Stegostoma tigrinum: one gene and its partners. The protein of the gene in region 2 binds, or shares a complex with, the protein of the main gene of each other region. Links are inferred from orthologs where the notes say so. Each region holds a gene or a part of one and is shown on either strand. Other genes may lie near its edges.

The links.
Region 1: deoxynucleotidyltransferase terminal-interacting protein 1 (region 2) and zinc finger protein 541-like share a complex: the UniProt entries of both Homo sapiens proteins name them as parts of the histone deacetylase complex. The link is inferred for Stegostoma tigrinum from reciprocal best matches to the Homo sapiens genes DNTTIP1 and ZNF541.
Region 3: the proteins of deoxynucleotidyltransferase terminal-interacting protein 1 (region 2) and mideasb are in contact, whole or in part, in a cryo-EM structure (PDB 6Z2J), measured with the Homo sapiens proteins. The link is inferred for Stegostoma tigrinum from reciprocal best matches to the Homo sapiens genes DNTTIP1 and MIDEAS. Residues at the interface, in NP_443183.1 of Homo sapiens: Pro63, Ser66, Leu69, Leu70, Ala72, Val73, Leu74, Pro76, Ser77; in NP_001036783.1 of Homo sapiens: Gln768, Asp771, Leu772, Thr774, Ala775, Ser778, Ser779, Ile802, Leu803, Leu806.

The regions. Positions count from the first base shown.
Region 1 is NC_081392.1:18,939,306-18,947,692, forward strand, and holds the start of zinc finger protein 541-like, read left to right. Parts: upstream 1-4,889; 5' UTR 4,890-4,895; coding exon 4,896-5,058; intron 5,059-7,196; coding exon 7,197-7,321; intron 7,322-7,614; coding exon 7,615-7,742; intron 7,743-8,387. UniProt on the Homo sapiens protein: Transcription regulator which is essential for male fertility and for the completion of meiotic prophase in spermatocytes.
Region 2 is NC_081372.1:57,376,501-57,384,536, reverse strand, and holds the start of deoxynucleotidyltransferase terminal-interacting protein 1, read left to right. Parts: upstream 1-4,287; 5' UTR 4,288-4,352; coding exon 4,353-4,427; intron 4,428-7,004; coding exon 7,005-7,075; intron 7,076-7,997; coding exon 7,998-8,036. UniProt on the Homo sapiens protein: Increases DNTT terminal deoxynucleotidyltransferase activity (in vitro). Also acts as a transcriptional regulator, binding to the consensus sequence 5'-GNTGCATG-3' following an AT-tract.
Region 3 is NC_081363.1:86,352,606-86,360,826, reverse strand, and holds the start of mideasb (mitotic deacetylase-associated SANT domain protein), read left to right. Parts: upstream 1-4,807; 5' UTR 4,808-4,894; intron 4,895-5,576; coding exon of another isoform or gene 5,577-5,616; exon of another isoform or gene 5,617-5,728; intron 5,729-6,021; exon of another isoform or gene 6,022-6,446; intron 6,447-7,372; exon of another isoform or gene 7,373-7,472; intron 7,473-8,221. Other genes in the region: ptgr2 (prostaglandin reductase 2), read right to left, coding at 5,577-5,616.

The DNA of each region.
Region 1 (8,387 bases), on a different chromosome or scaffold from region 2:
TACCCTGGGCCAGTCAGGAAGTACTGCATGACTTACCTTGGTTGATCAAGGAAGCTTCTCACTGTTATGCACTTCTTCGATAGTTGAGACTGCACTGACTTAAGTGGCTAACTCTGCTGAGAAAACAGTGGCAGTTATAGTCATGTTTGTTAACCTGGGCCAATCAGGAGGTCCTGGGTGACCAATATTAACAGAGGGCCTGACCCTGACCTGGCTGGCCGTAGTCACTGTGCTGTGCACAAGTAAATAAAGGGTGATGTGGTGATGGGCTGCAGGCCTCTGTGCATTTATTTCACATTCGGAACTGAAGAAGGAATATTGTGACCTGACAAGTTCATTCTTTTTCTCCATAGATGCTGTCTGATCAGATGAATGTTTTCAGCACTTGGTTTTTTCCCCAATTTACCTGTATTTGCACTACTTTCTTCATATCACTAAAATAGAATAACAAAGTTAAATGATCTGCTCTCACTTTTTATTATAAAAGAGTTCCAGAAGAGATGAGTTATTCATGTACTATGAGTGGTTCGAATTAAAATCCAACAGACTGTCAATTGCTATACCAAAATATCCGATATCATTTGACACAAGGAATACTAAGAGCATGAATGATGGGATCAAAAAGATGATAGATCCATCAACCAATAAGTTGCACTCAAAACAAAGGAAAGGAGATTGTCCCTGAGTACAATAAACATTTGGAGAGATGGGTGGAACACTACCTTGAATTGTGAATATGGTTAGTGAGGCAGGTTTGCATGCTACTTAGAGCTTGCCTAACATTGAAGAGCTAGATAATGAATGGCTTTTGGAGGAACTAGGTAGAGTCACTGATTTGTTGCCATAGGCAAAGCGCAAGACATGGATGCCATACTACCTGAAACAATCATGCACAGAAAATTGGTGTTCCTGCAACAGTTGCACAAATATGTGTCTGCTGGAGGGACGAGAAGTGCCTTAGAATATGCCATGGGGGAAAAGGTATTTGCCCGTGTTGCTCTTCTTAGATTAGAGATCCTGGATGAGCACATCTATCTTGAATCTTGTGGCTTCAGAACTGGGAGATCCACAGTTGACAAAATTGCTCAGTCCAGCAACTGTAAGAGAAATGCAATGAAGGGTGGACCTGACTATAATAGCCCCCATTGTTCTCATCAGAGTTAGCCACTTGGGTCAGTGCTGTCTCAACTATCAAGGAAACGCATAATAGTGAGAAGCTTCCTTGCTCAGCCAGGGAAAGTGTCTCCATCTCCTCCCTGCTGCCTCACACTTGCTCTATCTCTGCTGTTGCACCTGTCTCCCACCAAACTCATGGTCCACCATTCATACCATTGCATGCATTATCTTCTCTTCTTGCCCTCAGCCACTCAGTCCTTCTAAACATGCATGGCCACAGCACTGTCTACTTATTCACTTGAGGCACTGCTCCACCTATCCTGACCTGCACCAGCACTAATAGCTGTGCCAGTCACTTCCATCACTTGCAATTCTTCCCTTTCTCTCATTCTAGGAGAAAAAGGACCATAAAAGGGCAGAAAGAACCAAGACAGATGGTGGAATGTTGGCAAGTGATTCCTCATCCCCAGCTATCATTGGAGCCAGGCCCATTCCAGCAATGTCCGAGACCAGTCCTATAGAGGTACTGAAACCTTTGTTCATTGTTCATCTTCATTGCTGCCAGTAGGAATGCATTCTTAATACACCAGAATTTGTTTCCGACAGTTTTTGTTCCTTTTGTCTTCTGCAGGCATGAACAACATCATCATAGTCTCTGCTGTTAACAGACCTGCTGTGCAAGACATCACCTGCTGTACCTCTGAGGAAGAGAGCATGATGTCTCCAAGAATGTCCTGGCAAGGTTGCCCCCAATTACCACTACCCCTCCCCCAACCCCAGAATAAAACAGAACAGCTCAGATACTGACACTTTCGTGGTAATGTTAACTAGATTGCAGTCAGGTGCACGTGGTAACGAGCATATCACGGTCAAATCTTCACATAGCTAAGGAAGAAATGCACCATGTGTCTGGCACTCTAGGGACTGTTTGGTGACCAAGCTGCTGTGCAGTCCCAGGCCATTTGTGACTTAATTGAGATACACAGGCAGATGCAGGAGCAGTAGGCAAGTTGTCAGCGGCACTGGATAACCCTGGTGGTTAGGTTGCAGGACTGCAGCAGTGGCATTGGAACCCTGCTGCTTCTGCATGCGAGTGGCTCACTGCATGGACTGGTTGGTGGCTGCCATGGAGTGCTGAGCCCAGTACAATACCTGCTGGATATATATGCACATCTACACTCCACCAGTCCAGGGGGTAACTGGCCATCAAGGTGGAATTTTCTAAAGTAGACCCAGGTAATGTTGGAAAATGTGCCAGAACCTCCTGACAAGTAACAAACTGATGCCGCTTCAGCAAGAATTGTATTGATCACAGAAAATGAAAAACAGGAGGAAAAATCAAAAGCAACTAACATTGTAACACCTGTCCGAGGTTTTCAAGCTAACTGGAGAGCTAAAACTTTGCAAAGATAAACTTCATTCCAAAGAGGGATCATTTTTAAGTTCAGCAGGGAGAATGAAAGTTTTACCACTTGCTGCACTGACCTTTATCAAGAAGACCCCAAGGTATGACCATTCATTCAAGCATTCTACAAACATCAAAGTGAGACAGAAGAAAATCCACCTTACTAATTGTCACTATTAACTGTTCTTGTGAATTGTGTTGTAGAAGATAGGTAATAGAAGTAGGATTAGGCCATCCAGCATATCGAGTCTGCTGTGCCATTCAAACAGCATGGCTGATCATGTACCATTGTGCCATTTTTCACTTCAATCTCCATGTATAAACGTGTTTGTTATTAGCAAGTGACGTGCATTTCGTATTTAGGTTACATGTTGGGGCTAAAAATGTTTACTTGGGAATGCATGTCCAATTTTTTGCACACAATTAAATGGGATTAAATTAATGGTAAATTAAATGGAGATAGCAAGAACTGCAGATGCTTAAGTCAGAGACAGCACAGTGCGGAGCTGGAGGAACACAGCAGGCCAGGCAGCATCAGAGGAGCCGAACAGTTGATGTTTTGGGTCAGGACCCTTCTTTCCTGCTCCTCTGATAGTGCCTGGCCTGCTGTGTTCCTCCAGCTCCACACTGTGTTGTCAAATGGGAAACCTTGCTTTGTTTTAAGTAGCGATTTCCAAGAGCATAACCGTTAATTAAAGCAAGGTATTGTTATGGATTGAAGGCGAGAGCACCCTCTAGCGTAAGTTCATTACCACTTAGCATGCAAAAATAGCTCAGTAAAAACATTTAAAGTTATGGAGATGATGTAAAAGTACACCTCAAGTAAGCGAGGAAGGATAGTGTATTGTTTTAAAGCTTGTCAGTTTCTTCTATGATTTCCTTGCAAAGATATATTTTGAAAATTAGTTATATTTACTGAAACTAACATCTATGCTTAATAGATTGTTGAAAAAAGTTGCATTTATATAATGCTGCATATTTTACAGATAATTGATAACTTTTGACCACTAGTCACTGTTGTAGTTTAGAGAAACTGGCAGCCAATTTGCATATACCAAATGCCCACAGAGCAATGAGATAATGACCAGATAATTGCTCTGTTTATTGACGATGTTTGTTGTTGTGTGCTCATATTTATTTCTCTGAGACAAAACTTCCATGCTTCTGGGAATTTACTTGATTTCTTTTCCCCTGGTGCGCTGCTGTTATCTAGAATAGGCGAAAGAGAAACCAAGAATTTCAGCTGGCTGTCTTGACTTCACATTTCTTTGCTCCTTTTCTTGCTCCTCCTGCTCACAGAGCCTTGAAGTCATCTTCCTTTCTTCTCTGAACTCCTTTCTTGAACTTTTGAATAATGCTTTCCATTCTTGAGAACTCTTAAAACTCATCTTTTTGACTAGGCATTCCACCCCCCCAACTGATTCAGTGTTTATTTGTGATGTAACTGTGAACGTTTCTCTGTATGAAATGTGAAATTCAATTGATTCTTCTAGAATCCCTCACTTTGTGCCATTCCCTGACCTTTGTTGAGCATCCTACAGGCAGAGCCAACAGCAGAAATTCATCATTGGGACAGTATTGATATGTTATGGGTTACGGACTTTTATTTTTGTCAAAATATGTGTTCGATTGTGCATTTTAATCAAAAATATAAACAATAAATGACTGGCTGAAATTGTCATTTTAATTCATGTCTCTAATAGTAGCATATATTTTAGTAGTTTTTTTTAATCTTGAGTTTAGGGTTTTCTCTGCTGTATTTCAGGGTGTGAAGTTGTAGTTGCAATTCTTCACCCAGTTTTTTGTTTGCTGATTTCACCTGTTTAAAGGAGTTGCCGAATGAAGGTATGGCAGTTTTCTGCTTGGACAGGGAAAAAGAAAATGGAGGGCAAACCAACTGCTTCCCTTTCCTAACACTTTCGACTAAAAAAACCTACTCCTTTCTGACCTTTTGCAATAGTTTCTGTTGGAGAATAATTCATGGTCTGGAGAAACTTAAATAGAAGATTGTAATAAAAAAAACTAGAAAATTAATTCTGTATAATTACACCTTTACTGGCTACCAATTTTTTGTAAATTGAATCTGTCTCTAAACTATTTTTGTTTCTATTTTATTAAAGCTGCAGCAATACACAGAGTAAAGAAGAGGATGCTTTTGCATAGGTTCATGCTGTGAAAATTAGTTGACTGCTGTTTAATTCTACAGAAGGATATTCCCAAATCAGGAGCTATGGATTGCTACAGTTTCACCGATGAGAGCTCTCTCCAAACCGAAATGCATCTGCCTTTGCTATCAGACAGTGAGTTGCCCATTGCAAGTAATATCCAGAGACAAGAATTCATCCCAGACCCTGATGATATTATTTATGCAGGAATGACAAGTATAGACCTTGATTCTAACCTGGAGACTGCAGAAATTCCTGGCGATCCATTTGCTGACAATGTAGATCTATCCCTGTGTACTGTAGATAAGGGATGTGACTCCCCAAAGATTCCCAGTGACTCCACGGACACAGATTCTCCACCCATGTTGCTAGGTACTTGAATGTGCATTTTTCTAAGCACAGCAGTGCTCTTATAAGTATTTGCTGCTGGGATAAACTTGATTTCCTGCTTGTTCAAAATAAATGCCCAGTCAAAATTACTTACTAACACCGAACTTTTAACGGCTCCGATAAGATTTTATTAAAATTTGTATTAACTTTCCTAATGGCCTGTTTATGAAACTGCCTAATAACATGTCAGGCTGTTCAGATCCACAGTTGTTTGTGCTAGGATAGGCAGAGCAACAGTGGGCACTACAGTTGGCCTAAGCCTCCCTGGCTAGGAAATAGAAAATCTTCCAGTGTTCTTAGTTCTGATTTAACAAATCCTACCGGTTAGAAAAAGAAATTATGAATGGTGCGTGCAAGGAGGATCAGAATGTGCATGTCATTCCCTCCTCACTTGAATAGCTTGATTACTTTTGTGCTTAGTCTTACACACACACAATAACAGAGGGCTACAACCATTTGTATGTATTTCACTATAAATCTTATCTTTCAGAAGAGCAGACAAGACTGCTAGGAAATAAAAAGGAATCTTAATCTGTGTATTTTCTGAGCCATCTCCCTCTCACACTGTTGGCAGAAGCTACTGAGAAATGGTAGAAACAGCCTTGGAAGCTAATTTGCAGGGTTTCTGCTGAGATTGTGACAGGAAATTAGATAATCTTTGAGGAAAGCGGATAAGTTTTATGTTGTAGATGTTGAATAGTTATTTTTTAAGCGTGGATATATACCCAAAGAAGGCCAGTTTGTTCTTTGACTCTGACTCTGAAACAAAGCTCAGGAATGCTTGGAAATGTACATATTGGTCCTCCATTTTAAAGTATACAGATGAGTTGGATCAATATGTCACATTCACCAGTTTTATATTTTCCCATCTGGGAAGGCATTCCAACTGACTTATTCCATTATAAATACACTGTAGTATCTACTACCTAGAAGAAACAACTTTGTGTGCTATCTACTGTATTGAATCATTTTTCTGTCCTTATATAGTCTTGCTCAGAAAGACACTCACAATTGTGGCTGTCAGAATTGTAGACCAGAAATCAAAAATTAGTGTGATAGGTAAGAGAACCAAAAGAACTGCGGATGCTGTAAATCAGGAACAAAAACAAAGTTGCTGGAAAAGCTCAGCAGGTCTCGCAGCATCTGTGAAGGAGAAAACAGAGTTAACATTTCATTAACTGACTTCTGAGGAAGGGTCACCAGACCTGAAATGTTAACTCTGTTTTCGCCTTCATAGATGCTGCCAGACCTGCTGAGCTTTTCCAGCAACTTTGTTTTTATTCACGGTAGGTAAGAGAGCCTGTTACTCCCAAATATTCAAGTAGACCTTTAGCATGGGTAGGTCAGCTTTCTGTCTGGCTTCCACTATGCTGATATTTATTCATTTGTTTTATTATCTGAATGGTAATGCTGTAAAGGTTACCTTTTTGATTTATGTGTTTTTGTTATAAAAGCTGCTAACAAGGATCTTGTGATGCGCTTGTACCAAGACTGCTAAATGCTTCATGGAAATCAGTTTTGTTAGAGAATAATCGAATGCTGTGCATATGGATTTTGTTTTTGTATTTAGAGTGCCAATGTTTTTCCTGTATATACTCTTTATTTGCCTCAGTGTGTCTTTTTGAATGTTTTAAGATTCATTTGCAGTAGTGGAAGTTACCTTGTGATACCACAGCTGTACAAATCCTATCTAGTGGTTGTCAGCAGCTTTTTTTCTGGTCAGCAGTGTAACTGAGCCCCATTCTGTTCCCCCCACCCCCAACTGATGTCTACACAACAATTTATAATTTGATAGCATCTGTGTAGTGACATACCCAAAAGCACTTCATGGGAGCATAACGAAAAGCAGAATTTGATGCCACTGCACGCCGTTATTTAGGACAAATGACCAAAGTCTTGGTCAAAGAGGTAGAGTTTAAGGAAAGCCTTAGGAGAGTAAAGCAGAGGGGTTAAAGGAGGACATTACAGAAAATAGGGTATTGCAGCTGAAGATATGCCTTCCAGTCATGGTGTTTAAAATCAGAGATACTCCAATGGCTAGAATTGGAAGGGAAGAGAGATCTCAGAGGTTTGTAAGGCTGAAATATTGCTGGTTTTTCCTATTGACTTTTTTGTTACAGGTATTAGTCCACTCCCTCAAAAAAATAGTCCTGAGAAAAGTGGAGGTAAAAGTGAAGTGAAATATGGAGGGCTGCAGAAGAGAAGGCGTCTCTCCGCGAGGCATTCTCCGCAGCAAGCATTTCAGGTTAGCACTGCAACTGTTGTTCTTCTGGTTCGTCTGGTTTTAGGGCCCTAAAAAGAAATCTGTGCCAAGAAGTTTTTAATCTACATTATATTTGACTTAGTTTTTTTTTAGAAAGCTGGAGAACACAAACCAGTTTTGTCAAAAATAATAAGTTCTGATTTGTTCTGTAAGAGTAGGATATATTAGGGAGACCAATAGGAATGTAAATATTAACTGTTACAGTTGTTTTATCTTTATGTTGAAACCCATTTGAGGCAAAAATAGATAATTAGTTTGTATATTCTATTTTCTAGGAATGTAGCCAATGTGGAAAATCATTCAGCAGTGCCAGTGCTCTGAGCAAACACTACCTGACGCATAGTCATGAACGTCGGCATGTCTGCAGGATCTGCAATAAGGCCTTTAAGAGACAGGACCACTTGTGTGTGAACATTATGTAACTCAGGAATTTCTATTAGTTATTTTTCACGCACAGCAGATTTGCTTTGTCTACCTGGAATGAAACGAAATGCCAGGTTTTGTTTTATTCATTACAAATCAGACGCAAGTTCGATATTTGTGATTAAATTAGGCATTCCCAGTATTCATGTAATTAACATGCGTCAAGTCCTGTAAAGGTAACAGTGCCTGTCCAGCATCATCCCACAAACTACTGCATGAGATAAGCAATCAGCTAATTTGCATTTACGGGTCTTGGTTGAAAGAGGGTTATTGGCTTGAAAAACAGAACAAAAGTGACTGAAAGGCATTGTACCAAAACCTACCAGGTTTTTTACAGGCTACTAGGAGCCAGATTTAAAAGTGACGTTACCCGTACCTGAAGTGTTTCCTTAATATTTGAGTGCCAGGTTTTCAATAGTAATTTGCAAGAAGGAATTGAATAAATACATCAAAAGATGAGCAAAGAGCAGGGCGACTAATTAGGAAGCTCTTTTAGAGAGCTGATACAAACATGATAGGCCAGGTGGTATCCATCTGTGCTGCATTCTTCTATGAGTCAAAGTTAAATCTATTGATGTGTGTTGAAATATCAAATTGCCTGGAAGAAAATGTTACTCAGATAGAT
Region 2 (8,036 bases):
ATCCGTCTTCTCTCCCTCCTATCCACTCCACTATCTACCTGCTATTACAGCCCCCCACTTCTCTCTATTTATTTCAGAGCCCCCTTCCCCTCCCCCATGTCTGAAGAAGGCTCTAGGCCGAAACATCAGCTTTCCTGCTCCTCTGATGCTGTTTGGCCTGCTGTGTTCATCCAGCTCTACACCTTGTTATCTCGGACTCCAGCATCTGCAGTTCCCACTATCTCTCATTAATCTAGTAAATCTTCTCTGAATTGCCTCCAGCACATTGACATCCTTCCATAAGTATGGTCACCAATACTGTACATGATGTTTATTTCTGATTATTTCAATGTCAGTTTCTCTGTGGATTGTGGTCTAGAGGATGTGATAGTCTTGTGGTATTATGGCCAGACTAGTGAGCCAGAGACCCAGGCAATTGGCTGGGGACTCAGATGTGAATTCTGCCATTGAATTTGAACTCAATAAAAAAATTGGAATCAAGAATCATGAATCCATTGTCGATTGTTAGAAAAACCCATCTGGTTCACTAATGCGCTTTAGGGAAGGAAACTGCCATTCTTACCTGGTCTGGCCTACATGTGACTCCCTGCCTTCAGCAATGTGGTTGACACTGAACTGCCCTCTTGGCAATTAGGGATGGGCAATAAATGCTGGTCTAGTCAAGATATGCCCATGTCCTGTGAATGAATTTGTTTTTAAACTGTGTCAGTGCTTTATCATTTAAAATAATGTTTCTTGTTCTTCGGGTCACAAGGACTATTTTTCCAGTCCTTGTCAATGTCAATGTCTGAGACCTGTTCTTCAGTACATATCCACCATGTCTTTCCTCAAGTTGGTTATAGAATCTCTACTGTATGGGAGCAGGCTATTCCGCCTATCCAGTCCACACCGACCCTTCGAAGAGCATTCCACCCCCTACCTGCATTTCCCACCCTCAACACTATGGGCAATTTAGCATGGCCAATCCACCTAACCTGCGCATCTTTAGACTGTGGGAGGAAACCGGAGCACGCGGAGGAAACCCACACAGACACGGGGAGAAAGTGCAAATTCCACACAAATAGTCGTCCAAGACTGGATTCAAACCCAGGTTCTCTGGGCTCTGAGGTAGCAGCACTAACAACTGAGCTACCATCCCTTCAGATGTAACAATCCCCTCTGCACGTGTACACCCATATCCCCAGATCATGGCATGCAGTTTTGAGTTTTAGGTGATCTTTTCAACAAGTCAGAAAAGAAGGCGTAAGCATATCTATCTTCCTTACTTTCTCCCCATGTTTCATGTGGTGGCCAAATCATCCAATTTTCTTAAAAAAAACAACCTCATGGTTAAAAGCTCACGTTTCTCCAAGACAGAGCTGTCAATGAAACAATTCCAACTGCACTTTTCTCTCACTGTATATATCCCATTTAACCACATCTCCCATTCAATCTTGTGCAATTTCCCTTCATTACCTTTCAAATACATGAGTAGGAAGGGTATAGAGGGATACAGAACCTGTAAGTGAGGACAGGGTTAGCATGGAAGGGTAAAAATCTGTTGGTGCAGGCTTGGAGGGCTGATTGTTCTTTGGTTCTAAATGGGGCCATTCCATTATTAACCATTCAGTTTGACTTTGGGGTGTTATAACAGGGAATGGCCAAACCCCTCTGATAATTAAACTAAAACACAAGCCCTGATCTGTTATGACAACAGTTGGCATTCCCCTCTAATAATTACCCCAAAACACCAAGTGAAGCTGGTCTTTCCCCTCATAATCTATTAAAAGACCGGTTTAAAGAAAGAAAATCCCTGATATCCACTTTACAAAAGAACAAGAAACAAATTTATTTATTTAACCCAACAATTAATAAAATTACAAACCAACAATTCCCCCCTTGTCTACTAACTACTCCCTAACTGATTTAAATTCTACTGGGATGGCATCTAAATAAAAACAAGCCCAACTAATATAAACCCAATTAATAAAAAGCAATAAATTATAACTTAATCTCTTCAAGTCCACACAGACTGTCTTCTCCTATCTCTTCACTAACACCTCTCTTCTGTTAAGTCTGCTATCAGGGATGTTTTATCTCTATAATTTTTTCAAATGAGGACTTTGAGCTAAAACGCTGTGGTACCTTTGATTAAGTACATGTGCTTTCTCTGAGAGCTGAATGGTGCTAACTCTCGTAAATGGCAGTTAGTTCTCCCCAATTTTCCAAATGCCCTCATCTTATATACCCCACATGACATAATCAAATTCTTATAATATGATTGGTTTCAGGGTGATGGTAACACCATCATATTTAAATTCTGTTGGCTTTCTTTATCTAGGTGCTTCATTGAAATTAATTGGCTGAATTCAAACTTGTCACAACATCAAAACAAAACTACTGTTTTACCTGCCACTTGTAAGGTCTTTTTGCTATGCTTGTTTCACCTTTTGAGGTTCGCTATGCAGGCAACTTCAGCTGCTGCTCTCAGACATAGAAATGTTTATTTTTAAAAAATTTCTAAGTACAGACAAGGCACAAATCTTTTAAAGGAGCCACACATTTTAGCTTCCTGCCTCCCACTTCACATTTACTCTAACCAGCTTTGTAATGGGGGCTCTGAAGAAGCTTTACTGTCCAGTTTAAAAATGTGCTTTTGTAACATCTTTAAAACAGAAATGAAACATTACTATGTGGGTTCTAAGCATTATCAAATTCTGTTTGTTTGTTCTTTCTTAAAGGAAAATACAATTTTCACAGAAGTAACTTTGCTCGATGATGATTGACATTTCCTTCTTTTAAAATTATCCCACATTCAAACATAGCAACAACAGGTTTGAAGGTTTCTTCTGTGCCCAGCCTCAGTGGGTGCTGTTGGGCTGACAAATTTTGTTTGTGGCTATTTCTTTTTTTCCCCGAATGCTATTTTCCATTTTTCTTCTAAAGGGAGGCTGAATAGGCTGGCCCTTCTTTCACAAGGAAGTTGAGGTGTGACTGTACAGATGTTTATAAAATCATGATGGGCGTGGATAGGGTGAATTGCAAAGATCTAAATGACTCATGATACAAATTAAAACCACCTAGGTTGTTTCCATTGGACCTGGTTTTAAATTAAAAATTTAAAATTTACATTTGATGCATCCTCTGACGCACAAGCAAAAATGCAGAAGATAAAATGATATGATCTTTGAGAAACTGAGCTTGACCAGTTCAAAATCAGGCATGATCTTATTGAATGGTGGGGCAGGTTTGACGGGCTGAGTGGTCTGTTCAGGGTCCTAATTTGTACAGTTGTATGAAATATCTTTCCACACTGTATGCAGGTTCTCGAGGACGGACATTGACCACAAGGGCAACCTATTGTCACATCTTCTTACTAGCTGCCTTGAGGTTCCAGCAAGTAACGCCCAGAACGCACAAGGCTGCATGCCAAGTGCTGGAAAATGGGATGAGGCTGGACAGCTGTTTCTTGTATGCAGTGCACCCCATCCTCTATCCACTTCCTACATCCTCCTGTTCCTGGTCTCTCATGGAAGTAAAGTGGAACCATGAAGCAGGCCATGGATCCTGTGTGCCTCTGAGTGGTCAGTTTGGCCAAAGTGACCAGTCGAGCACTCATCTCTCTCAGGATCTCTCCACCCTCTACCTCTTCTGGTTTCCCACATTCTCTTCATCTGCCTTCTATAACCCTTTGGAAACCTCCAGCCTCTGTTCCAGCCTCATTTCCCCTCAGTCACAGAAATAAAACAGATTTGTAAGAGTAGGCCCCAGCGAGATTTGAACTCGCGACCCCTGGTTTACAAGACCAGTGCTCTAACCCCTGAGCTATGGAGCCAGTACCATGACTAAGCTGGAATCAGAGCCTCAAGGAACTGTTGCGCCCAGTTTTCCATTTAAACTGCAGGGGGCAGCATCTCCGGAGGTCGTAGGCCAAATACACCGATCAAATCGGGCAGAGTTGTGCGAAACTATCCAACCACGGGACTCGTGGGCCGCTCATGGCACCAACTTTTATACCCGACCGCTCAAACGTTGCCCGTTGCTGTTGGCAGGGCTAGTCCGGACGTCTGCCCCGAACTGAGATGGCGGCCCTGCTCACTATGGGCAGCAACCCAACGCCTCGCGGCCGCCGATCGCCCCGCATCAACATGGCGGACGGCCGCGCGCCCCGAACTAACATGGTCGCACAGCCGCTTGTCCCATACTGGCATGGTGGACAGCCGCTCGCCCCGCATGAAAATGGTGGCGCAGCCGCGCACAGGGCAGCGGAAGCGGTTCCCGGCGGGCCACGCGCGCATTGCCCCGGAAGTGAGTGTGGGTGATATCCGGTGGGAACTGAGAGTCCGGTGCTGGCGGCTGAAGGAGCGGTTACCATGGGAGCGAGTGGAGACGGCGGTAGCCCGAGTGGGGACGGCAGCGGCCTCCCGGAGCATGAACAGCTCGGCACGGTGAGGAGAGCAACCCCCGGGGCTCGGGCGGCGGATCGCTTCCGGTCCGACAGGACAACCCCCACATCATCAGATCCGCCCGGGGCCAAGAGGGGGTGAACCTCCCACTCACCACCCCCCGGCAACTCCTCTTCTTCCCGCCCTCCCCCCCCACTCCTAAACAGCCCACCCCACTCTGCCCCCACAACCCCTCCCACCCCCCCCCAGAACTCCCCCTCCCACCCCCCCCAGAACTCCCCCTCCCACCCCCCCCAGAACTCCCCCTCCCACCCCCCCAGAACTCCCCCTCCAGCCACCACAACCCCCCCACCCCCCACTCTCCCACCCCACTCTGCCCCCACAACCCCTCCCACCCCCCCCCAGAACTCCCCCTCCCACCCCCCCCAGAACTCCCCCTCCCACCCCCCCCAGAACTCCCCCTCCAGCCACCACAACCCCCCCACCCCCCACTCTCCCACCCCACTCCGCCCCCACAACCCCTCCCACCCCCCCCCCAGAACTCCCCCTCCCCCCCCCAGAACTCCCCCTCCAGCCACCACAACCCCCCCACCCCCCACTCTCCCACCACAACCCACCCCCCACTCTCCCACGGCGCGCCCCCCCCCCACCACCGCTCTCTCCCCCATCACCCTCCATCTCTTGCCCCTCCCCATCACCCTTCCAACCGCCTGTAGCCACCCCCATCAACCATTCCCATCCAACCTCCACTTCCATCAACACACCACACTCCCATCACACCCTCCAACTACCATCATCCACTGCCTTCAGACCTCTGTTCTCTGCAGTAAAAATCACCGTAACACTGAAGAAAACTTTTTGTTTTCCTTCCAACTTGTGCAAGCCATGACTAATAATTAATAAGTCAGAATTTTTTTTATGTGCTTGGATCAAGTCATTAACTTTTGCAGTGACCATGGGAGTTTGAGAATCAGTACACTTTCCTAAGTGGGTTGTAATAAAATTTTGTGCCTTTGCTGAAGCGCTGGAACCTGGTCCTTCTAGGTTTTAGCAGTCATGGGTTAGAAGGCAATGGTACCGAGCCAGAGGGGGTTATGCTGCAATGAATTGGATAAAAAGCTGATGGTGTGTTGCAGGGCTCGATGGATGGGGGTTGGGTTGCCTAGCGTGTTGTTCTGCCTATTTGGGGCAGTGCACTGGGAATCAAACCCTGCTATTCCTGAAGTTGTCACAAAACTTAACATTACCATGAAAAATTGCCCTATTTCACTGTCTTTTAGACTCAGGATGATAGAGAACATGGACCGGATTTCTGTACTTAAGCAAACTGCTCATTGTTGTGAGTGATTAAACTCTAGTTACAGGTAAACAATTCTGAGCCATCAACATATCACTCTACTGGTTAAAACTCTAATCCCCTTATACGTGTCTTTGCTCACAAACTGACACAGGTTTTAAAAAAAAACATGGATGTTATGGATGAGGGGAAACTGGGAAAGCAGTTCAGTCATCTCGGTTCACAAGATCTGCTGAGATAGTTCTTGTGCTGATCAGAACACTTTGTCAGTTTTCCTTCTCTGGGTGCTTTCACTGGGTTGCAGGAGCTGGGTCATACTTGTGAAAGATTCCTGACTTATTAACTAATAGTCATGGCTTGCATAAGCTGGAGGGAAAACAAAACTAGTTTTCTTCGGCATTAGAGATAACAAAGTGTGTAGCTGGATGAACACAGCAGGCCAAGCAGCATCTTAGGAGCACAATGCTGGTTGGCCTGCTGTGTTCATCCAGCTCCACACTTTGTTGTCCGTTTTGTCAGCATTAGGATGGCTTTTACTGCAGAGAACAGAGGTCTGAAGGCTTCTCGTTATTTTGTTCACAGTCCCAAGCTAAGTACCTGAGAATTGATCTCAGAGTTTTTGGCCTGACAGAGGGTACTTATTGTAAATAACTGGTTTCTAGTCCACAGACAATCAACTATTTGTTGCCAATCGAACCTTCACTTATACACATCTCTTGGCTCCAGGCTAATCTTCAAAACAACACTTCAAATGCGGACAAGTTGGACCGAAGGGTCTGATTCTGTGCTGTATGAGTCTATGACCCTATAACTACAGCTTGAACAGTTCTACTATTCCTGCCATTCCTAGGCGGTTCCTACTATCTCTCAGCTTGAACAGTCAGCTTTGTAAAATAAAATCAAAAGAGCTGCGGATTCTGTAAATCAGGAATAAAAACAGAAGTTGTTGGAAAAGCTCAGCCGGTCTGGCAGCATCTGTGAAGAGAAATCAGAGTTAACAGTTCTGAGGGACGGTCACCCGATCTGAAACGTTAACTCTGATTTTTTCATCACAGATGCTGCCAGACCTGTTGAGCTTGCCCAACAACTTCTGTCGTTGTTTCAGCTTCTTTAAATGAAGCTTGCAATGACTGTTAGGTTGTCTGCATTCTAAACATGCAGCAATCCTTAGTTTTGAAGCCATTCTTTTCCTACATTAGTCCACAAACAGAAATAGAAAATTAAAAAGATGTGTTCTTTACAAGAGTGTGCTTTTAGTGACAGGCTTTGATGCTGCCTGAGTTGCTGTTGTGATGATCTTACAAGGTTTCCCTGTTTTCCAGAATCCCTGGAACATTATGATTAAGCACCGCCAAGTTGCTCGAAGGGGTAGGAGATCACAGATGGCAGTGAGGTAAAACATTTTTATTGATTTTTGTGAGAGTGTATTCTCTTCAGACCTGGTCAAGGATCGGGAATCTGCATATTAGACGTGAAGTTGGAAGAAGGATTCTTTACCAATCTGTTAATTCTGGCTAGCACCAGTATTAGGCCAAATTACCTGATTATTCTTAAAAACTCAACTGGGTCCATTGGTGCCCTTCTCTAAAGGGAAGCGGCTATCCTGATTTGGTGGGCCACCATGTGACTCCAGTCACTCAGTACATGGCTGACTTTTAGGGCAAATGGTGTTGGACAATAAATAGAGTATTGAAAGAATCTCTTACATTTCATGAAACTAGAAGTATCTTCAACCTTGGCCAGCTGTGAGAGACAGTCTGTGTTTACAGCTAGCATCATTAGACTTTAGGACTTCTTGGATTTCTGATCATAAGTTTGATTGGGCCGATCAATGCTGGGGGATTTCCTGTCTGAGAATAGAGATCAGTCAACAGAACTGATGTGGCAACAAGAAACACTAGAAGTGAATTTATTGTAATCTCAAACTCACTGAAATAGCCTCCGCTTGTCAGATTCAGAATCTTTTGCCTGGGTCCCCAGGCTGTAAAACCAAGAGGAATGGCTCATTTGGGGATGGCCTCAACCTGAGCCCAGGATGTAAGCAACAGACCCTCCTTACATTCCCCTCTGCATATTGAAGAGAGGCTGCTCCCCTATCACTCTCACTGTATTGTGTTGATACTGTGAGGTAGCAGTGTTAATCACTGAGCCACCGGGCTGCCCCAGCTGGCATACAGGACGAAAATGCTAGATAACACCCATTCTTCCTCACGAAAGGAGCTGTACCTGATCAGCGGTTGTTAAATAATCTACTAAAAGGCGTTTTTGTCATAGAGTTCGAACAAATGAAATACTATACTCTCTCATTTCACCAGTTTCACCAATCCAAATGTATCCATGGATTTACTGCGAAC
Region 3 (8,221 bases), on a different chromosome or scaffold from region 2:
GCCATCTTGGAAAAAAATTGGAGCTACAAAAAACTCCAAGGTGCCAGAGAAATCAGCACTGGTGCCTCTACTATTTACAATTTATGTTTTTTTTCTACTCATTTTGTGGGATGTGGGCATTGATAGCTGGCCAGCATTTCTTGAACATACTTGGTTGCCCTTGAGAAGGTGGTGGTGAGCTGCATTCCTCCTGCTGTGGATGACCCACATTGCTGTTAGGGAGGGAATTCCAGGATTTTGACCCAGCAACAGTGAAGGAATGACAATATGTTTCCAAGTCAGGATGGTGAGTGGCTTGAAAGGGAACTTGGAAGTGGTGGTGTTCCCAAATATCTGTCTTTCTAGATGGAAGGTGAACACAACTTGTGGTTTATTACTTGGATGAAGGGACTGACTGTATTGTGGTCAAATCTGCTTAAGGATGTGAAGGTGGGGAGGAAAACAAGGAGGATTCAAAGAGGTACAAATGGATTTGGCCAGGTTGAATGAGGAAGCACAAAAGCAGCAGAAGTGGGAAAAAGAGGGTTGGGAGGAAGAATGGAAAAGCAGAACATCATTTAGTTGGAGACAGACTGCAGAAAGCTCCAGTCCAGCACAATCAAGGACATCATTTAAATGGCGAGAGACTGCAGAAAGCTCCAATCCAGCAAACCTGCAGGTACAGCAAGTATTTAGAAAGGCAAGTGGAAAGTGATCTTGATTGTAAGGAGATGGACACCCAGCTATAGATATTCAGGACTTTGGTGATACCACATCAAGAGGACTGTGTACAATGCTGCAGATTTTGCTTAAGGATGGACAGACCCACACAGAAGGCCTTTCAGGGAAGGTTCGCTTGGCTGACTCCTAGGAGATAAGTCTCTCCTTTTTGTGAGAGACCCTAACAAGTTGGGCCTGTATCCATTGGAATTTAGAAGACAGAAAGGTGATCGTACTGAAACACGTGTGATCTTGAGGGGTTTTGAGTATGGAGGCAGAGATGATGTCTCATCCTGTTCCTCCTCCTTCACTCAAAGGGTTGGTGGTGTGTGAAATTCTCTTCCCAAGACAGCAGGGAACATTGGGTCATCAAATGTACTCAAGGCCGAGTTGAATAGAGCTTTGAATTACAAGGGACTTGAAAGGGTGGACAGTAAAGTGGGATTAAGATTGCAATCAGACTAGATCAGTCCTTAGAGCCCTCTATCATTAAGATCATGGCTAATTTCAACATTGACTTGATTTGCCCATAATGTAACTATTTCTCTTACAACCCAAAATCCAATTACAATCTCTCCAAACTGTACACAGCGTACATACAACCCTGTGCATTTGAGGCTTCCAAAGATTCACAACTCTTTAAGTGAAGGTATTTCTCCAGCTCAAGCATAAATGTCTACCTCTTTGTCCGAGGCAGTGACCCCACGTCATCAATTCCCCAGCCAGAGGGGATGCTTTCTCAGCATATACTCTGTCCAGCCTCTCAAGAGGTTCACAATTTAATTAGATCATCTCTCATTCTTTGAAACACCAGGGAATACAGGCCTAGCTGACTCATAGGACAATCCCCATAAACCAGCAACCCACATTAATGAACCTCTCTGACATTCATTTGGGACCACATACATCATTCCTCAGGTAAGGAGGCCAAAACTAGACACAGGACTCCACTCGGTACTGTAGCGAGGTGTCTTAAATCCCTTATTAATGTACAAAATAGGATAAATAAGACCAGCCCTTTAAACCTACTCCACCATTCAATGAGATCATGGCCAAGCTCTTCTTGAATTCTTCGTTCCCATCTACCCATGATAACTCTTCATTCCTGTTGTCATCAAATAAAAACATCTACCCATGCCTCAAAAATATTCAACCACCTGACTGGGTGGAAAGGCTATTTCCTCTTGTGGTTTATAAGGCTCACCCATTTTAAACAGATGATGAAACATCTTTTCTTGGAAGTCCTTTCCTCAAAAAGCAGTGGATACAGGATATTTCAATATTTTTAAAGGCAGTGGTGAACAGATCCCTGATTACCAAGGGAATCAAAGATTAGTCGGTGATACACAGCAATGTAAAGTTGAGGTTAAAATCATGCCAGAATGGTGGAACAGGCTTGAAGGGCTGAATGGCCTGCTCTAGTTCTTACATTCATATATCTTCACCCATAAGAGTACAGGGCTTTTCACATCTGATATTCCAATCCAATTCAAGCAAATGCGAACACATCTGCTTTCCATGTAGTCACGGTCTTTACAATGTCTGCTTGAAATACAGGGTGCGGGGAGTTGCAGGAAGCTGGAGAGTAGTAGCCACAATCTCACTGAATGGGCTATCAGTCTCGACGGACCGAGTGGCTAATCGTGCTCCTAATACGTATGCTCACACATTAATGACAAAATTTGCTCAGACATCCAGGTCCTCTGGAGGCCGACATCCTCCAGACACATTACTACCAAAATGGAAAAAAAAGATCAAAGTTGTTGAAAATATAAGTACGGCTGAACTTTTTAGGGGCACTACTGATGGTATTTCTGATTTATTCCAACCCTGTCTGCTCCAGTCAACGCAGCAAGTGTCAATCCCCATCAAATTGTCTGTTGCCGAGACTTCAGCAAACTCAAACAAAATTTTCCCCCACCTCCCTCGCCTCCGTTTCCTCCCTGCTTATTTGCTGCAGGTTACGAGACAAGTTGCCAGAGAAAGGGTGATGCCGGCGGTTGGGGGTGGTGGGGGTGTGGGGGAAGTGGAGGGAACCGGTGTCAGGGCTCTCAGTAGCAGCTCTACAGGAGGTTGAAAGTTGGATGAAGGTAGTTGAGTAAAGGGGTGGGCCTGCTGGAGGGGGAAAATGGCTGTTCCCGCAGTTGGCAGCATTGTCCTGTACCCCCATGAGCTGCTATACCCACCTGGAACCTGTATCCTTATGGTGTCCTGTTCCCGCCTGGACCCAACTCAATGCAGTTTGCAATGCCTTGTTTCCGAAATCATAACATACCAAAAGCACATCATTAGCTGCATTGCCCCAGGCTTGTGAAAAATACAACACAATTTCAAGCCTTTCTTTCGGTATGTCAGATCAGGAATTCTGGCCCTTAAGCTGCAACCACTGTTTCCACTCCTTGTTAATGTTGTTTAAAATTTTAAGTTCTAAAGGCTTGTAATAGATTATTTATTACATGATTGCCCTATTGGCAGATATATTCTCTATCAGAACAAGTTCCATTAGCTCACAGCAATTTGAGCTATCTGCAATTTCAGTCAGACCTTCCACTTAGGAATGGGATAGGCCATTCAGCCCCTCTGGCCTAGTTTGCTGCAATTCAATAAACTCATGGCTGGTATGATTGTGGCGTCAGTTCTACTTGCTGACCCTCCCTCACCCCCTCCATATCCTTTGACCACTTTCATAGTCAAGAATATGTGTACCTCTACCTTAAAAAGGTATTCAATGATGTCCCCCACCAACCCCACCCCCAATCCCAACGCACTTCATCACTCTGAAAGGAAGACAATTCTAGATGCCAAATACCTTCAGATAGAAAACATTACCCCTTGCCTTTAAAAATAAAGTGACCCTCTCATTTTTAAAGAGTAACCCATAGTCCAGTCCATTCCACAAGATGAAATATCCTTTCACCATTCACTGCGTCAAGTTCCCTCAGGGTCTCACAGGCTTCAAGAAAATCATCACTCATTATCTAAATGTCAATGGATACAGGCCCAACCTGTCCAATCTTTTCCCATGAGACCACCAACTCCCAGTGCCACAAAAAACCAAGAATTGATAGAGTCAACCTTCACTGAACTTCCTGTATCACACACACACACACACACACACACACACACACACACACATTCTGAAATAAAAATGGCCAAAAAATGTACACATTATTCCAGGTGCAATCTCACCCTGGACCCATACAACTGTTCGTTTTTCATTTTTATTTTCTGTTCCCCTACAATAAACAGCAGCACTTCCTTTGCCTTTGATATCACTTGCTGTGCCTGCACACTAACTTTTGTGATCCACGTACCAGAATATCCAGATCCCCCTGTACCTGAGATTCTGCAATATCTCTCTAAATAATGCTGCTATTCCATTCTTCTTGTTAAAGTGGACAAGTTCATATTTTCCCACATTACATTCTATCTGTCAATGTTTTTGCCCACTCACTCACCCACTGTCTTTATCCCTTTGCAAACTTCTTATCTCCTCTTCACAACTTACTCTCCTAACTACCTGTGCCATTCTATTTTCACTGATCTGGCAAATCTGGCCCAACAGGGACACAATCTTCAATCTCAAGCAGTAGGAGTCAAAATATCTTAGAGCATTGTGGATTGGCAGAGTTTACAGGAGTATAGACAGAGTTGGGGCCATGGAGGGGAATACCAAAAAGAAAGGTAGCATTAGTTAGCCAGGAGCTGCAAGTTTTCATGATTTAAGAGACCCCAACCAGGAGAGTGTTGGAATGGTCACCTTTAAGAGGCAAAGAACTAAGTGAGGGTTTTAGCAGCAAAACAGGTGAGAAAGCTGTGGGGTTAGGTGGTTTACTGTGGTGAAAATAGATAGTCTGCTGTCTCAGACTTTCAGTTGAAAGTTTATCTCAGGATCAAACATACCAGCAGCATAACAGTCTGGTTCAGTCACCAACAGCTGACAGGGTCAAAGAGATGGCTTCAACAGACAAGGAATAAAATGGTTTTTAATTTGTTCGTGGGTCACGGAGCCAACATTTATTGGCCATCCTTAGTTGCCCCTCGAGAAGGTGGTGGTGAGGCTGCCTTCCGGAACCGCTGCAGTCTACGTGCTGTACATTAACCCACAATGCTACTAGGGAGGAAATCCCAGGATTTTGACCGAGCGACGCGTTTCCAAGTCAGGACGGTGAGTGGCTTGGTGGAAAACCTGCAGGTAGGGGTGACTCTGTTCATGTCGGTGATAGAGATCGAGAGTTTGGAAGGTGTCTGTCAAAGTAAGTTACTGCACTGCAAATTGTAGATCGTGCACAGTGCTTCTGAGCCTCAGCGCTGGAGGGACTGGATGTGATGCTATAGCCTGGATGGTGTATAGCTGCTCAGGTGAGGTCTCAAGGCAATTGCTACGGGTTAACTAACCAATATTCCCAGGATAGAGGCCAAGGATTTAGACAGTTTGACCTTTTACAAATCACAATTCACTAAATTCTAATTGCATATAAAAAAAATTCACTGCAGTGAATTCGTTTCTGATAAAGCTCCATTAACAGCAACCCTTTAACAGGTATCAGCGTGTACGCAAACTCCTACCTAGCTGGATTTTATTAGCGATGTCCCTGTACTATCAAAATAAAGTGTAATGGTATTTATAAAACAAGTCAAAGCCTGTGCATTTCAAACCAGAAATTCTTTACAATATTTACTAAATACAAAGGCGGGCCGAACAAGATAATTATTCTCTGCCCTATTTAACAGTCACATGTTTCCAGCCCAGAGGGAGAACAAAACAACAGAATATAGCAGAACACAGGCCTTTCAGGAACCGAACTACTTCATTTTCCTATGGGGGGAGGTAACCGTGCAACTTCGGTACAGTATCGAGGAGTTGAAACGCTCACTGTTTCTGCCCTTCGCAGATCTACTGAGTACTTCCAGCATTTTCTGTTCCCATTTTGCAGCTATCCGATAATCACAGCTCAGTGTGGCAAAGAGAGAGTGTAAACACGAACAGTAGCTGCGTTCTCGATACAACCGACAGGTCGCGTCCTGCAATTCCGCTTTTCCATTGGAATTAAAACCCCACCCCGTTTTCGCTTTTTTAAAAAAAATCCAAACAACCTACTCCGCCTTCCCTCAACTGGTTTTCACATTCATCAAAACACGTTGAGCTCCCAGTAAGACAACTCCCCCAGAAACTTCACAACCTGTGCAACTTCGTGTAGGACGCAACACCTAACCAGCCCTTCAAACTTGCAACACAGCACAACGTGATTGCAACAAATTGTCCCCAGCCAACTTGCAAGCGTTATGAGGCCGCCACTTGTAACAATATACCATTCCGACCTTTTTAATGAAACGTGGGCAAGTCCAACTTGAGATAGCAACTGCAGCTTCCACACCCCGCCCCAGGGGACACGTCTGCCTCAGCCACAGGGCAATGGAGTGCAGAAAATAGTCCTTTCAGTTCTGGTTTGGGGGGCGGAGGTGGTGAAAGAGAGGATTACAATCGCGGGAGGGAGTTTAAGAACAAGGGGAAAAAATACATTTCAGAAAAAGACATTTCCAAACAGCCACTTCTAAACAAAAAAAAAGTGGCCGTGGTGATTTGCTGACAGGCTGGGTCCTTGACGTCACTGCATAACTTTTACGAAGACGTAGTTTCTTAACTAGGAAGTGAGCCACCAACTGTTTGCAGGCGAAATTAAAAAGTTGTGGATTGAGAAACTGCTGGGCGATTTGCAAGGGGGAAAACAAACACTCTGGCCTGTGTAAGTTACAGAAGTTTTTTTTTTAGATCTCCTTGACCCTTCTCCCATGGCCTGGTCTCTGTCTGTATATGTGCGTGACTGTGTGTGTGTGTGAGAGAGAGAGAGAGTGGGGTCAGTGCGGATATTGATCCAGCTTCTAGCACTTCGCTTGGTTTCAGCGGCCTGCTCCTTAAATTGACGCGAGCAGGTGACCCCCGCAGTTTGCAGACAGAGAGAAAGCGAGATAGTTGAGGCAGAGTGAAATAGAATTTCTCGAGCTGATAAATTACATCTCCATTTTCGCTCCCCACCCTTAAGTGTTTTCTTTGCAAATGACCTGGCCTTTTTTTCTAAACAGTATTGTCTTGTGCAAACTTTTGCTGGTCAAAGTGACACGCCGCAAAAGAGGAAAAAAATGCACGAAATAGAATTGAGGTTTGTGTAACATGAAATTCTGAAAGCTTGCATTTTAAGCACGTTTGGACTGACTTCGCTCTTCCTGGTATAGCCCATTGCAAGTCTGCACCCAGTGGAAAGTCCCGGTGTATTTACAGGATTTAAAGGGGCTGCGTGCCATTTGGGTTTTATTGTTTTCGGTCGGCCCAACAGGAAATAGTGAACACAGGATTGTTTGTGCATGGAGTGTAGGGAGGTGAAATATGTGTGCGATTTTTAAAAAAAAATCCCCAAACCGCGTTGGTTGTATTTTGTTGCATTCGAGGTGAAGGGATTTCGAGAAGTGCAGGGGATGAGCTGGTGCTGCAGGGATCATGATTGTGCAATTGTCATGTCGCTTGCAGTTTGTGTGTGTCTGTGTGTGTTTTCAGCCCGCGATGAGGTAAACTCTATGACTCAGCCTGTCAAATGCAAGCTCGCCACAGCATTGCGATGGTGTACAGAGGCGGGGGCAGCAGCACACAGAGAAAGAGAGAGTGGTAATGGTGGTGATGTGGGGGGTGGAGGGAGAGGTGGTGGAGATAGGAGGTGGAGGTGTTGCTGCTGCTTGTATTTTCCGAGTCTTATTCATCCGGCTCTGGGCTTCCACAGGTATGACTTCCCTCAGCTCCCCCGCCACCACTGTGACCCCGGTGTGTTTGTGAACTGAAGTTCTGACACGCCGGTGTGATTTGAGATTCTAATCTCGTTAAGATTTTGGTTCTTTTTTTCTCTCTCTGTGATCTGGGATTGATTTGTAGGCGGCGTGCTTCTTCTATAACCCACAGATTTGCTGTCTGCACAAAGTAACGCCGCTTTAATGTGCTCTGATGTTCACTTTTAAAATGGCTGTTGGGACATTGCCAAATAAAAAAAGGTGGGGGTTGTGGAGGAGGAGGGGGGAGAGGTGGTGAGTGTGAGAGCATGAGGCTTCTCGATGCATCCAACGTGGATCTTTGCCACAGCCCTCAGCATGTCATGATCAATAACCCGGCACTATATCAATGCAGGGCCTCTCTGTCAGACTGAGACAAAGTCTTTCTGGGTTCACTGTACTGTACATTTGTGTGTGGGAGGCAGCTTTGGTATTGGTATTTTAATTTGGGAGGGACGGTTCGGGGGGGCGGTGCGGGAATAGGTGGGCGGAGGAAATGGTTTCGATGTGTTACTTCTCAAGATGTGAAGATCCTCTGGCCGTACTACAGGCAAGTTATTACTGGCAAAATGACTACAATAAACTGGGGGAGGGAGGGCTGCAGTTCCCCAGGCTGAACTACTTTGTTTCTTTAGGGGTTTGGGAGTATTTGGGTTAGAAAGAGACGGAATGAAGGCTGGGGAACTTGCACTGCATGCTTTACGAC